Ovis aries: one gene and its partner. The protein of the gene in region 2 purifies or fractionates together with the protein of the main gene of each other region. This does not show direct contact. Links are inferred from orthologs where the notes say so. Each region holds a gene or a part of one and is shown on either strand. Other genes may lie near its edges.

Region 1 (7,571 bases), on a different chromosome or scaffold from region 2:
TCCTGGCTTCAGCTTACTTTTGTCAAGCTAATTTTATAAAACAGAAAGTGTTACATAAACACTTGAAAGGGGGTATAACAGTATAACAAGAGCATAGTTAGAAGCCAAATAATCATTTTTATCCTTCAGAGAGAACACTAATCTTAGGTTATAAACAACATGCAGTGCTACCTCTTAAAAAAGTGCCCTTTTGTGCAATCTCACTGTGAAACGTGAAACCCCTAATACACAAAATTTGAGGAGCCAACGACTGTTTTTGAAGCAGGAACTGACTGCAATATTTTACTTTCAAAGGCTATTTAATAGTTTTGCTCATCATTTTGATTTAGGCACTGTAGTACAGTGACTTTGGAAACTGGTAGCAAAGTATACATATAGAAATCCCTTAGTGAACATTTGTGAAGAAAGGAAAGCACCTTACAAGTATGCCCATTAAATTTATTTTAAAAACTATGGTTTTGAGAAGAATATACTCCATGATCACAGTAGATAGGGGAGAAATGCACTGTTTCCCTCTAGAGATTTTTTTTTTAATTCTAAAGAATTAAAAAAAAATCCCAGCAACCTTCATTCATTCCTTTGCTACCTGTCAGACACTATGGCAAACATATTTCATGTTAAGTTGAATCATACTAAATAATTTATTGGCATATTTAGGCAGTGTAACTTATTTGGATAGAACTGGATAGAATCTATCCAAAGAGATTCAATCACACTCAGGCTGTTTCTCAAAAAAAAAGTTACTTTTCAATAGTTTAGAAAACTGCTTGTTAATACAATTTCAGAATCACACAAATTACTAAACACTTTTCACAGAATTTTGCAAAGAGTGCTTGGTTTAGGATTTAGTGCCAGTTAAAATGAAGTGGGAGGCTTCTCTGGTGGCTCAGTGGTAAAGAATCTGCCTGTCAATGCAGGAAACATGATTCAATGCCTGGGTCAGAAGATCCCCTGGAGGAGGAAATGGCACCTCACTCCAGTGTTCTCGCCTAGAAATTTTCATGGGCAGAGGAGCCTGGAGGGCAACAGTCCACGGAGTAGCGAAGAGTTGGACAGGATAGAGCAACCTAAAGTGGAAGCAAGCTAAAAACTAGGTTTAATATAATGGATTAAACTAAAAATATTTCCTAGATACAGTAGTTCCCCCTCCCTTATTTATAAATGGAAACTTTATCATAATAAGTATGTATGTAGAGGAAAAAACACAGCACATATAGGTTTGGTATATGCCTAGATTTCAGGCATCCACTGGGAGTCTCGGGACATATCCCCCACGGATTAAGGACTACTGTACTTGAAACAAGAGCTTAAACAGAGATCAATAAGAAGTTATTTCATTTATATCTATAGGCAATATATACTCTGGCCTTTCTAATATTTTTCAGCTTTCAAATGCTCTATTGCCCTCATACAGTCATGAACTATCTTTAAATGCCAACTTTTGGCATCCAAAGGGTCCTAAAAGGGACATAAATATCCTTTATAGGATTAGGCATCTAAAATTTTGATTTAGAAAATATCATCCCACTTATATGTAAGTAAAATTTTAAGACTGAACTTAGTTCTTGGGTAAAATTCCATTCTATAGCCATGTCGGATCAATGTTTTAAAACCTGAACCTGATATAACAAATACTCAGAGAAAGCTCTTCCAATGAGTTTTTCAAAATCTGCTAAAGGCATTTCCTAAAGAACAGAGCAGTACATAAATTGGCTTCAGTGGTTACTAAATAATTCAAATCTGTTTGTCAGTTTTTGACTGCAAAATAAAACTTGGAGTTATCTCAGTTTGCTTATTCTAATCTAAACCAATTCATACAAAATCAATTTAATCTATAGTAAAGTTGATAAGTAATATTTCTGAATGTTTAAAGTGCAATTTATAAGGTTTAATCTTTTAAGTCTTCTTCAAAAAGAGACATTAAAATAAAATAACCTGAGTTATTTTTCAGTTCTAAGATTCTCTGATTTCTCTGTGTGTAGAGTTGACTGAGCTAATGCAATCAAGCAGAAAAATAGACTACCAGGAGGGCTCAGCTGGTAAGAATCTGCCTGCAATGTGGAAGACCTGGGTTCAATCCCTAGGTTGGGAAGATCCCCTGGAGAAAGGAAAGGCTACCCACTCCAGTATTCTGACCTGGAGAATTCCATAGCCAGTATAGCCCATGGGGTTGCAAACAGTCGGACACGACTGAGCTTTCATCAGGAGTCAAATCCATGGTTTGAGTTTAGGCTTTACTAATAATTAGCTGTATCTGAACAAGTCACCTTTGGGACCTGGAAAAGTAAATAACTTACTTGAAAGCACTTTTGTCAATTATAAAGCACTATACAAATATAAAATGTTACCTGTCGACGACAACCCACAACATATCTCGGTCCATTTGTAGCTTTAACAATGACTAAAGGGGAAAAAAGAAATGAAAAAACAAATTGAAACATAGAAAGTAAAAACTAAATATATCCACATTGATGGCAGGTTGCATTTTATTTCTGTTCTCCAAAAGACAAGAGTTGAAAGAAAACTCAGTCTATGCAAGAATATCATCTATCTTCATTATACTCATTTAAGCAATAAGCATTCAAAGCTGGTGACAGAAAGGAGGTAACCCTGCTCTTTTTCTACTAACAATCTAATACACTTACATTTTTCTTCAGTTAACTGCTTAAGTACTTCACCCACAATCTAATAAAGACAAAAGAGAGCATTATTTTTTGCCAAGAGCTTAAAAAAATAAATCACCATCACCCTCTACATCCCAAACTCCATTACCTACCTGCCCAACACTTTGTAGAGCCTTCAGATCATTTTCAGATTTTTCATACTGCTTGGTAAGTTCTTTTAATTGTTCCCTTACTGAAATAATATAATTTGAACATTTTGAATTAAGTAATCTTCGCGAGTTTAAGGCACCAAATCTTAACTTTTGTCTGTTTCACTTTACATATATTTTATATCCATTGTATCAAACCACACAAAAGTAACAATGCTGTTTGTAGATGATGTGTTTCAAAACGAAATATTACAGAGAAAGCACCTATTTTTATTTTCTTGATTGGCGATACTTACTTCTTTGAGCACATTTTAGGTAACATTTTTAACAGGTATTGACCTTCTGGCATTTCCAGATCTGAGATTACAAATCCGAATAATAAGAGTTAGACCCTCCTCACTTCATCTATCTACATGCACTGTTACCCTCTGGCTTTTTAACCTAAATAAAGCTCCGCAGAATTATGGTTAAGGTTTTCATTCATTACGTCGGTGACGGTGCATTAAGAAAAAAATACAAAACTCTTTTTATTTAGTTCAGGAGGTAAGGGAAACTTGTATAATTAATGCAGTATAATTCAAACCACGAGTAAAGATGAAAAGGGCTATTACTGACCGATACGCCTTATCCCTTAAACCCCATGTTCGGCTTTCTTCTCCACTAACAAGCCAACCCCCCTAGAATCTCATCTCGCGCTTGAGCTTCTTTGACTCAAGTCTTTTCTCCGCTCCGGGTCCCAGGGCTCCACCAACACTGCACTCCTTGCACCTGAATCTGGGAAACATCTCTGACCAACTTCTTCCTCACTCTTTGTCGGGTCATTTCCCACTTTCATCTCAGAACTGGGGATGTTCTGTCTGTCGCCTGGACCAGACTAGATCATTTCCACGCCCGAAAAGGCTCGGCTTCCCAAATACTGGGCGGAATGACAAAGCGCCTTGTCCCTGGACTGAGGCCTTCTCATCCCAGGGACTCGGTTGCCGAACTCGGCAAAAGGCCTCCACTTCGGCAGAGACAGAAGCGGGTCCAGGTACGAGATTACGTGGAAAGAAAGGTGCACTCACACTCCTTGAGACGGCCGTCAATCTCTTTGTGCTCCAGCAGTTTCTTGCGGTAGTCCTGAAGCGCCTTATCTCTAGGGTCCGCCATGATGAGAAGCCGTCGCTCATAGGGGATGCCGGGAATGGCCATGGCCGCCCGGGCGGGGGACGGGGCGGGGCGAGGGAGAAGAGCCTCCCTGGAAGGGCAGGTTCTCAGGTGACCCCGCCCCTTCCGGTTGGCTCCGCCTCTGCACTGCCCTTCTCCAACTTCTGCGTCTAGGGCGCCGGAACCCGTGGAAGGAGACCTCCACCTACACCGTCCCCTGCTGGTCTGCCTGGGTAAAGCAGGGCTCTGTCCCCTGAGAAGCCTTGGTGTTTTTAAGTCATGCTGTCCTGGAACCACTAAAGACTTTGTAATAAACTAATATGAGAGTAAAATAGAGAATATACATATTTCTTTAAGTAGCGCTGATGGCTTATCCATGTATACCTGTTGGTATAACACAACACTATCTAGGATCTCCAGGTACAGAATAAGTAAGCTATTGATTCATTTCTTCACTCAGTGAATGAAGTACTAAGGATTTGATCCGGTGGGAAAATTAAAGAAAAAAAATATTTCAAATTGTAATAAATGCTGTTCAGTTCAGTTCAGTCGCTCAGTCGTGTCTGACTCTTTGCAACCCCAGGAACCGCAGCACACCAGGCCTCCCTGTCCATTACCAACTCCCAGAGTCCACCCAAACCCATGTCCATTGAGTTGGTGATGCCATCCAACCATCTCATCCTCTGTCGTCCCTTTCTCCTCCTGCCCTCAATCTTTCCCAGCATCAGGATCTTTTCCAATGAGTCAGCTCTTTGCATCAGGTGGCCAAAGAATTGGAGTTTCAGCTTCAACATCAGTCCTTCCAGTGAACACCCAGGACTGATCTCCTTTAGGATGGACTGGTTGGATCTCCTTGCAGTCCAAGGGACTCTCAGGAGTCTTCTCCAACACCACAGTTCAGAAGCATCAATTCTTTGGCACTCAGCTTTCTTCACAGTCCAACTCTCACATCCATACATGACCACTGGAAAACCATAGCCTTGACTAGATGGACCTTTGTTGGCAAAGTAATGTCTCTGCTTTTTAATATGCTGTCTAGGTTGGTCATAACTTTCCTTCCAAGGAGTAAGCGTCTTTTAATTTCATGGCTGCAATCACCATCTGCAGCGATTTTGGAGCCCAGAAAGATAAAGTCAGCCATTGTTTCCACTCTTTCCCCATCTATTTGCCATGAAGTGATGGGACCAGATGCCATGATCTTCGTTTTCTGAATGTTGAGCTTTAAGCCAACTTTTTCACTCTCCTCTTTCACTTTCATCAAGAGGCCCTTTAGTTCTTCTTCACTTCCTGCCATAAGGGTGGTGTCATCTGCATTTCTGAGGTTATTGATATTTTTCCTGGCAATCTTGATTCCAGCTTGTGCTTCCTCCAGTCCAGCATTTCTCATGATGTACTCTGCATAGAAGTTAAATAAGCAGGGTGACAATATACAGCCTTGATGTACTCCTTTTCCCATTTGGAACCAGTCTGTTGTTCCATGTCAAGTTCTAACTGTTGCTTCCTGACCTGCATACAGATTTCTCAAGAGGCAGGTCAGGTGGTCTGATATTCCCATCTCTTTCAGAATTTTCCAGTTTATTGTGATCCACCCAGTCAAAGGCTTTGGCATAGTCCATAAATGCTGTGAAAGTGAAATGAAAGTGAAGTCGCTCAGTCGTGTCCAACTCTTTGCGACCCCATGGACTGTAGCCTATCAGGCTCCTCTGTCCATGGGATTTTCCAGGCAAGAGTGCTGGAGTGGATTGCCATTTCCTTCTCCAGGGGATCTTCCCGACCCAGGAATCAAACCCGGGTCTCCCTCATTGTGGGCAGATGCTTCACCGTCTGAGCCACCAGGGAAGCCCAATAAATGCTGTCACCCTCTAATGTAAATAAAACAGGATAATGTTACAGAGTAAGGTGAAGAGAAGTAATTTAGGACAGATATCTGAGACAAGGAACCAACCATGCAAGAAACAGATGAAAAACCTTCCAAACAGAGGAAACAGCTAATGCAAAGATCTGAAGGTGAAAGGAAAGTGAAAGTAAAAGTCGCTCAGGCGTGTCCGACTCTTTGCGACCCCGTGGACTATACTGTCCATGGAATTCTCCAGCCCAGAATACTGTAGTGGGTAGCCTTTGCCTTCTCCAGGGGATCTTCGCAACCCAGGGATGGAACCCAGGTCTCCGGCATTGCAGGTGGATTCTTCACCAACTGAGCTGTCAGGGAAGCCCTAAAGGTGAAAGGGGCTTAGCTCATTTCTTGGAACAGAGAGAAGGCCAATGAGACCGGAAGGGATGGGTTGTGGAGATGAGGGGCACAAGATAAAGATGCGGAAGTAGACTGAGTAAGGAACGTGAAACCTGACAGAACTGTCTTTAAGATTTCTGTGCTTTTGGACAAATTAATCTTTCAAAAATCTCTGTAAAATGAGTAGAATGTTTTACCTATCTCATAGGGATGTCATGAGTATTAAACAGCACAGTGTGCCTCTAAGCTATTAATACATGTGTGCATGCTCAGTCGTATCTTATTCTGGCAAGGATACTGGACTGGGTTTCCATTTCCTCCTCCAGCGGCTTTTCCAAACTCTGGGTTCAAACCCATGTCTCTTGCATCTCCTGCACTAGCAGGCAGAATCTTTACCACTGAGCCACCAGGGAAGCCCCAAATATTCAATAGTGCTATTTTAAGTTATTTATTTTAAGAGTGGTAATGACCTCAAATTTTGTGGTACGGGTCCACAACGCTGTACCTCTTCTCAGCATTACTCCTGGGGAGAATTTAGAGTTGTTTCAACAGAATCAGTCACATTCCCGACTCCATTTGCTGTCATCTCATCCCCCGGCTCTGATGTTTGAATTTAAATAGGTATAGCCTATGTATGCATATAAAGTTCAAATTTAAGTAAATTTAACTACCAAAAATTTTGTTAGGAAATTAAGCTATTAGAAAATATAAAAGATGTCTTTGAATTTACTGGGAAAAAATCTTATGGACATTGTGTAAATATTCTATTCTGTTTTTTCCAAATATAACTGGAAATTTCAATTAGACAATAAACAAGGAAGGTGGATTGAGCAGGGTTAGTCCCTTCTCCCACTCAGGTACAATTATTCTGGTCAAACTAGTCTATCCATACCAGAGTATTTCACCTCTGACATCAAGAAGTAAAGAAGAGAAGAAGAGGCAAAGAAGAAAAAAGTCACCTCAGTTTGATTCAATTCAACAAATATTTATATATACTGGTCTGTTAGTTCAACACACACCAACATTTTAAACTCTTTTGACTCTTGTTCATCCATCTGGCAAAATTCCACTTCAGCCGAACTTCCTATCTATTTTCTCTATGCCTACAACAGAACAGTCCTGTTCCTTTTTTATACACACCTCTAAGACTGTATCCCTGTCCATCAGAAAAATGCAACTTAGTTGGTAAGTGTATATTCATAAGTGTGCTCAAATGTTTAAATGCAATTAAATGTGTCTTTTCCCCCAGTAGACTATAAACTTGAAGAGAACAAGAACTATGACTATTTCTTCTTCATTATTGTATCCTCAGAAGATGGTTTTACACACACACACACACACACACACACGTGTATATGGACTGTATATCCTTTGTCTTCCACTATCTCCCAGAGTTTGCTCAGATTGATATCTATTGAGTTG
Region 2 (7,691 bases):
AAAGCTACTAGAGTAATCTCAACCTCAGTTTTACTGCCTGTGAAATGGAATTTTCCCAAGATGAAAGATGAAGATCAACATGAACATATGCATTTATCCACAGTACAGACATATTAACACAGACTAAAGAGTTAAGCTTCAATAACTGGGAAGTCTGCTTAAGCAGGACACTGCTTTTGTAGAAATATAGGCTAAATAAAATTCCTGCACATAAATGTTAAAATGTTCTCTTCTATTCTTCTCCTGTAGTGTGTGTGTTGTTCTGTAACAGCCCACAATGTGTGTGTGTGTGTGTGTGTGTGTGTTGTTCTATAACAGCCCACAATATGTTGTTTACATTTCTGGCCTCCCCACCAGACTATGGAGTCCTTGAGTTCAGAAAACCAGCAAAGTGCTCAAATTATTCAGTAAATAACTGGTGCATGAAAATTAAATTCTAGGAGTAAGAGGGAAGTAAAAGTCATCATGCCAAAGTCATTCATTCAGAGTAGGAGAGCTTCCTAGAGAGGGTGGGACTTGAGAAGGATCTTAAAAGATACAACTAGGCAGAAAATAAGGGAAAGGAAAGGGGAAGGAAACGGCAACCCACTCCAGTATTCTTGCCTGGAAAATCTCACAGAAAGAGAAGCCTGGTGGGCTATAGTTCATGGGGTCACAAAGAGTCTGAGTGAGTCATGACTGAGTGAGCACAAGGGAAAGGAAACTCCATGTCAGGGAAGGGCATGTCGAGAATAAAGAACAGTCACACAGGAACAAGGGGAGAGGAGGCATCAATTAATATACTAGTTTAGTCACTGAAAGATATTAATGGAGTAACTCACAATCTAGGGTAGAAGTCTGGACTAGAGAAGATCTAGTGAAGAAGGTGTGGCAGGGAAGTGGCATGAAATGTTAGTTCAGAAAGATGCCACAAAAACAGGGTTGAGTGAACTCCGCGTTTTGTCCCTCTCCATGATTCCCTCCTGGCTTCAAATTATCCTAGGAAGTCTGGCCCTTTTGGTATATTATTTCTACCAATCTCCTGTCAGCACTGGCAATGACCTCTCTACATTTACAAAGCTACTGAAACGATCTGAGTCTCAGTATCTTGTCTGTGTAACAAAAGTGAGATTAATCTAACCATTCACCTTTCTACATTTCTACATATAGGCTGCTGAGTGCAGATACAGAACAGGACACAGCTGTGCAAACTGGCGCCGTTCCAACTTACCACAGTTTTCAAGCTCTGCGTAGTTTTGGAGTCCTTTTGTCCCTTTTGTTCCCAGAGCAGCCAATTCTCACTATACCTAGCCTATCAGCAAAACCTTCTTCCTGCATAACAGCCAAAAACTGGAAACAATTCAAATGTTCGTCAGCTGATGAATGGACAAAAAATGTGATATGTCCTTACAGACTATTACTTGGCCATAAAAACATACGAATGCCACAAAATGGATGAACCTTGAAAATGTTATGTTAAATGAAAGGTGCAAAAGGCCACATATTATGACTCTATTTATAAGCAATGTCCAAAACAGGCAAATCCACAGAGAAAGTCAATTAGCGGTTGCTAGGAGCTAGGAGGAGGGGAGAAAGTAGAGAGACTGCTAAACAGCATAAGGTTTCTTTTAGAGGTGATGAAAATGTGTAGAATTACTGACAGACACACAACTCTATGAATATACTAGAAACCACTGAATTGTACACTTTAAAAAGATAAACTTTACTGTATGTGAATTATATCTGAAAACAGTTATTATCTTAAAAAAAAGATCAAAATCCTAATAGTCCCTACATGTTATGGTTGACATCTAGCACATAGATAGCATGCATTTTATTTCAACAAAACTGCCATTTCAGGGGAAAACAACTCTTCTTTAAGAGCTGACTCTAACTCCAACATCACAAAGAAAATATAGGCTATAAGAAAATTTCACATTTCTATATCCAGGTCTATGCATGTATCTATTAATACATCTACACTTACCCTCACCTTTCATCTTACTCTTTTAGACTTAATTCAATCTCGCTCATCTAAGATACTGATTTTTCAGCTGGTCGTCTTTTCTACCTACAGCCTAAGTATTTGTTTCTTTTTTTAAAATATATTTATTTACTTTTAAATAAGGGCTTCCCTGGTGGCTCAGACTGTCAAGAATCTGCCTACAATGCGGGAGACCTGAGTTCAGTCCCTGGGTCAGGAAGATCCCCTGGAGGAGGGCATGGCAATCCACTCTAGTATTCTTGCCTAGAGAATCCCCATGAACAGAGGAGCCTGGCAAGCTACAGTCCATGGGGTTGCAGAGTCAGACACAACTGAGTGACTAAGCACAGCATTTTTAAATGAAACAAAGATGAATATTTTTAATGTATAACCTGTATTTTAATTGCTCTCCAATTAGTTCCCATCTTTAAAAATAAGACAAAAATCCTTGATTCTGAGACCTCCCAGCTACCACCTTTCTTTGACACAGCACCAATTTCCTCCAAAGAAAACTGTTTAAAACTCTATTTCTCCTAGAATATCTTATTATGGAGAGACGTCAAAGGTCTCTGAAAATGAAAAATAATCAGCAAAACAAAGCTTTCTTACAAATTTAAAAGCAAAAAAATTTTAATGTTACCACACTAACTGAAAACAAATGGATGAGAATAATACAGGAATGTCATTGAAAGGAAAAATTTGGAAGACTTGGGAACTAACTATATATGGTAGGGTGAGGCACCAGGTTTTTCACTCTAATGTCTAGAATAGTGATAACTTAAGAACTGAGAAAATCTAGAAAGAAAACCTGTTTGACAACAGACGCGCTCAGCATCAGATTCTGGATCTGATAAGCTCAAAACAGCAGCGAGAGTTTTAACCAGAAATGTTTAGCAGGTAACTATTCAATCTCTGCTTGAAAATGAAGAGAGGTCAGAACTAGAGCTGTAGACCAGGAATCATTATCAGGAAGATCACAACTGAAGCTACAGAACTGCCTAGAATACAATAGTATATGGCAAAGACACTGATTAAGATGCAGCAGCAATGTCTCCACAAATGTCTGTGGCTCCCAATGGGACACGAATAGGAAGCCCTTCCCCTAGAATGGAGGAGTTGCAGTGGCATCCATTCAGCACAGAATGGTCAAGAACATCTGAAGACTGTTGAAGCACATCTCAAGACTACTTGAAGCACTGTTCAAGTAGTCTAGGCCAGGAGAAAGTAGGAAGCTCTTTCCTAGGGGTTGTAAATCCTTTCTCTAAAGGGAAGGCATAGAGATTTAAGGATATTACCTGGGGGGTGACAGCTCAGCCAGGCCTCCCCTTCGTCCTTCCTATGAAGAGAAACAAAAACGTAATTAGACTCACTCAATGTCAAAATGGATGTTATTGATGAAGGGGAGAAAGAACATATAATTTCCAGTTTAGCCAGAGCACTTACACAAATCAGTCTAATACGTTATCCAGGCATAGACAAACTTTATTGAAGAAATACTTATGGATTGTGTTTAATGCATAGACCTGTTAGTTAAGTGAAGCTCAAGTACTTCATCATGAAACACTTATTAGCTGCACTATCCTGGGCAACTTACTTCTTGATTCTGAACTTGTGTTCTTGCAAAGGTAGGTGGTCCTCAATAAATGCCAGTGTTCCTCCTATTACACATCTGGTGTTGTAGTAATAAGGTTTCTTTTCAGCCCACCTAGTAAGGCATAAGTTTCTTAAACTCAGGAGACTATGTTCCATTCATCTTCACCATTGTTTCCATTTTTAAAACCTATTAGTATAATAGTTGCCATTCATGGCACTGCTGTTGGAGAAGGAAACGGCAACCCACTCCAGTATTCTTGCCTTGGAAATCCCAAGGACAGAAGAGCCTGGCCGGCTGTAGTCCACGGCAGACACGACTTAGCGGCTGAACATCTCGGTACGGCTGTACTCATTCTGGTGCCTGGCAAAATAACTTGCACAGTATATGATACACAATAAATAAATGAATGGTTTGTTGTTCATTCCAATTAAGCTGTTAGCGTCTCAAAGGCAGAAACCACCCTTAAGTTTAGAGTACACATCTGAACTCCGCCGAGCATCTATTTAGGTCAGAGTCTGGACATGGTTTAAGTGTTACACTGTTCCCTGAAAAGACCTGTGAAGTGAAGTGAAGTGAAGTGAAAGTCGCTCAGTTGTGTCCGACTCTTTGCGACCCCATGGACTACACACAACATGACTAACACACCACTGGGAGAAGGCAATGGCACCCCACTCCAGTACTCTTGCCTGGAAAATCCTATGGACAGAGGAGCCTGGAAGGCTGCAGTCCATGGGGTCGCTGAGGGTCGGAAACTACTGAGCGGCTTCACTTTCACTTTTCACTTTCATGCATTGGAGAAGGAAATGGCAACCCACTCCAGTGTTCTTGCCTGGAGAATCCCAGGGACGGCGGAACCTGGTGGACTGCCGTCTATGGGGTCGCACAGAGTCGGACACGACTGAAGTGACTTAGCAGCAGGGGTCGAGAAGGATGCCAAGACTCCTGGTAATGCAGATTGCTGGGACTTTTGGAAATAGCTGATAAGTAAGTATTTGCTAAATGACCATGACTATTTGGCCAAGAGTCTTCCTGCCTCTCAGTTTTCCTGTCTTTCTCCAACTCATTGATGCTATTCTGCCTCTGCCATCACACGACGCATACGTGTTTCCTGGGATACATAACTCTTCTGAGAAGGAAAAACAATGACCATGTGGCTTTGAGACTTCTAGGCCCAGGGTTCCCTCAACAATTGATGAGGCAACCCCTATGGACATCCTGGGTCGGGGATGGCGCTCCTTAACGTAAAGGCAACATCCGCTACCCGCCTCCTATGTCCCAGTTCTGGACCTGGATTCACCTGAGAGCCTGGGCCCAGTCGCTCTGAATCCTCAAAGGTACCGCCATCTTGGCCCGCCTCCACCAGCCCGCCCCTTCCGCTCTCTCCCGGAAGTGGATGCCCCACAGAGCCTACGTCGAGAACGAAGGGCGGGATCTACCCGAAAAGCCGCTAATGGAAATACGTGATGTATTCTCCTTCTCTCCCCGCCCCTTTGCGCGCGCGCTCCTTGCAGGAAGCTGGTTCCTGACCCGAGGTTTACTGGGTAATTCGGTAGAGTTACAGCTGCCTGCGAAGCCGACGCCGCTGTGCAGCAGCGCGCGTTCGAGTCCTCCTGTCTGCCTGTTCGGTGAGCACTGTGTGCCGCGATCTTACGCGGTGAAGCCTAGCGGGCACAGCGCGGGCTCGCGAGTGCGCTTGCGTCCTCTCCGGAAGGTGGTGGTTTTAAGTAACTTGGCCGCTTGGGTTTTTCTGCTTACCCATCCTTTCAGTGCCTTCTTAGTCCAGGCTGGCCTTCGCGAACCAACTGCCGACCTTCCATCCTGCCCTGGTCTCTGAGCGAGGGTCTTCCACTTTTTACTCATGAGAGACTGAAGCCAGGTTGAGGTGGGGAATTAAGTCCTTTCGTAGCCCATGCACTTGTCCCTTATTAGCATCTTATTCCTTGCGGTAAAGTGAGTTAAATATTACCTTAAGAAGGAAGGAAACTAAGGGATTTCCTCTGTGGTCCAGTCGTTAAGATTGCCCTTCCGCTATAGGGGACACTATATAGTTCGTTTCCTGGTAGGGGAACTAAGATCCCACATGCCAAAAAAACGGGGGAAAAAAAAAAAAAAAAGGAATGCACGCTAAGGCTTGCGCATAGTAAAACGAGGTGCCAGTATTTGAATCCGGATTTCTTGGCTTAGAATCCACGGCACTGTTCTTTCCACCATATTGTTTCAAGAGGCTTGCCCTTGCCTTTAAAGAGCTCAGTATATTTAGAAAGAAGAAACATGTATAGTAATAGGAGTTATCATTTATTGAACTCTGGACGTGCCAGGCTCCTTACGTGCATTATCTCATTTAGTTTTCAGTCCTGTGAGATAGATTTGATGTGTGTTTTTCAAGAGAGATTATAAAGTGTAATTTGCTCAAAGCATCCCAGTGAGTCAGTGACCAGGCTAATTTTCCAATCCAAGTTTGTTTTCGAAGCCCATTTTCTCCCTCCTCCCTTGCCTTCAAAGCAAATGAATTTTGTGTAGGGCCAGTACTCTTGCCTGGAAAATTCCATGGACAGAGGAGCCTTGTAGGCTACTGACTATGGGGTCACAAAGAGTCGGACACGACTGAGTGACTTAACTTCACTTAACTTATAGAGTTCTTGGGCTCTCCCAGTGGCTCAAAATGTAAAGAATCTGCCTGTAATGCAGGAGATCTGGGTTCAATCCCTGGGTCAGGAAGATCCTTTGGAGAAGGAAATGGCAACTTGCTGCAGTATTCTTGCCTGGAGAAATCCATGGACAAAGAACCTGACGGGCTACAGTCCACGGAGTATCAGAGAGTCTGGACAGGACTGAGCGATTAACACTTTCACTTTCATAGAGTTCTTAAAACCTTTTTGTGACTTCCCCATTGCCCTCTTGACAACTTAACATGTGGTCTTCCTGTGATCAGATACTTTCTCAACTCATCACTTTCATTAATTTTCCTGTTCTCATACTCTATTCTCCAGTCATGTAAAACTTTCAGTTCATCTCATGTCAAATTCTGTCTCAAATCCCCACCCTGCTCTTCCATTGACTAGAAATATTCTTTACATCTCTGGCTCTTCCCTTTTCATCTTTCAAGTCTCAGTCTAGAAATCACTTTCTGCAAGAAAAGAAGGCTTCCCTGCCTGTTTGTCCCCTTGTCTGGCTTAGGTAGTCTCCACTGTCTTCCCAATTTTAGCTGTTTATAGACACTGTACACAAGTAATCAGCCTTTTAACTTACCTAAATTATAAACTCTATGAAGGCAGGAAGTGTATCTGTCTTGGTCACTCTTGTTTTCTCAACTCTAGCATAGAGCTTGGTACATGATAGATACTCAATGATAATTTGTTAAATGAATCAGAGACCCAGGAAAGGCATTAAGGAGTCTTAGCTTATTTATAGCCTGTCATGGTTAAATTTGTACAAAGGCTGAGTCATTTATCTTCAAACCTCTCTTAAGTTCCTTCTATATGCTACCTTGTGCTGGGTGCTCTGAAGCAGGTGATCGTGGAAAGGCAGTGTGGGCAAGTGCACCTCACATTAAGTATTCTCACACTTCACAAACTTAGTTCTTGCCCTGTACCTTGTATGCTCTTTTCTCCACACAACTCTCCATTCTCCCAAATGTCAAACCCTACCCATATATGGTTACTCTCTCAAGTACTAAACTCTGTTCTTCTCTAGCCATAGAATAAGGCTAATTGAAAAAAAGAAGATTGCTTCTCCAATAGGAGAACAGAGATAGCTTCCCCAGATATGTGACATTTCACCTAATTCCAATTCTATTAGTAGAACCCATTTGAGCTTATTAGTGCTGTGCTGAGCATTCTCACATACTTTATCTCATTCTGTTCAGTTGAGACCATTTTGCAAGCCTGGTGCTGGGGGTACCAGGATGAATCAGGCCCAGTGTTTGTCCTCAAATAGCTCACAATCTCCAAGGGGAGACATAGGCATAAATAGGCTATAACAGTGCAGTGGTAAGTGTTGTTTATAACAGAGGAACATATATAATCATGTCCCTACTCTAACCTTGCTCCCATTGATATTCTAGAGACTCCAGAAGATGTCAGCTCAAGGCCATGCCTGGTCCCGACAGGTGAAGAAGGAGGATGAAGAAGAGGA

What was found.
Region 1: the proteins of PAAF1 (region 2) and PSMC6 purify together in Homo sapiens (affinity purification with western blotting; 3 studies listed by BioGRID and IntAct, with this or other methods). This does not show direct contact. The link is inferred for Ovis aries from reciprocal best matches to the Homo sapiens genes PAAF1 and PSMC6.

What each region holds. Positions count from the first base shown.
Region 1 is NC_056060.1:11,459,533-11,467,103, forward strand, and holds the start of PSMC6 (26S proteasome regulatory subunit 10B), read right to left. Parts: upstream 3,943-7,571; 5' UTR 3,923-3,942; coding exon 3,838-3,922; intron 2,857-3,837; coding exon 2,777-2,856; intron 2,686-2,776; coding exon 2,646-2,685; intron 2,402-2,645; coding exon 2,349-2,401; intron 28-2,348; coding exon 1-27. UniProt on the Homo sapiens protein: Component of the 26S proteasome, a multiprotein complex involved in the ATP-dependent degradation of ubiquitinated proteins.
Region 2 is NC_056068.1:52,057,755-52,065,445, reverse strand, and holds the start of PAAF1 (proteasomal ATPase-associated factor 1), read right to left. Parts: upstream 4,924-7,691; 5' UTR 4,902-4,923; coding exon of another isoform or gene 4,855-4,901; intron 4,542-4,854; exon of another isoform or gene 4,375-4,541; intron 3,930-4,374; 5' UTR 3,910-3,929; coding exon 3,818-3,909; intron 3,669-3,817; coding exon 3,558-3,668; intron 3,300-3,557; coding exon 3,259-3,299; intron 1,330-3,258; exon of another isoform or gene 1,211-1,329; intron 1-1,210. Other genes in the region: cytochrome c oxidase assembly factor 4 homolog, mitochondrial, read left to right, coding at 7,633-7,691. UniProt on the Homo sapiens protein: Inhibits proteasome 26S assembly and proteolytic activity by impairing the association of the 19S regulatory complex with the 20S core.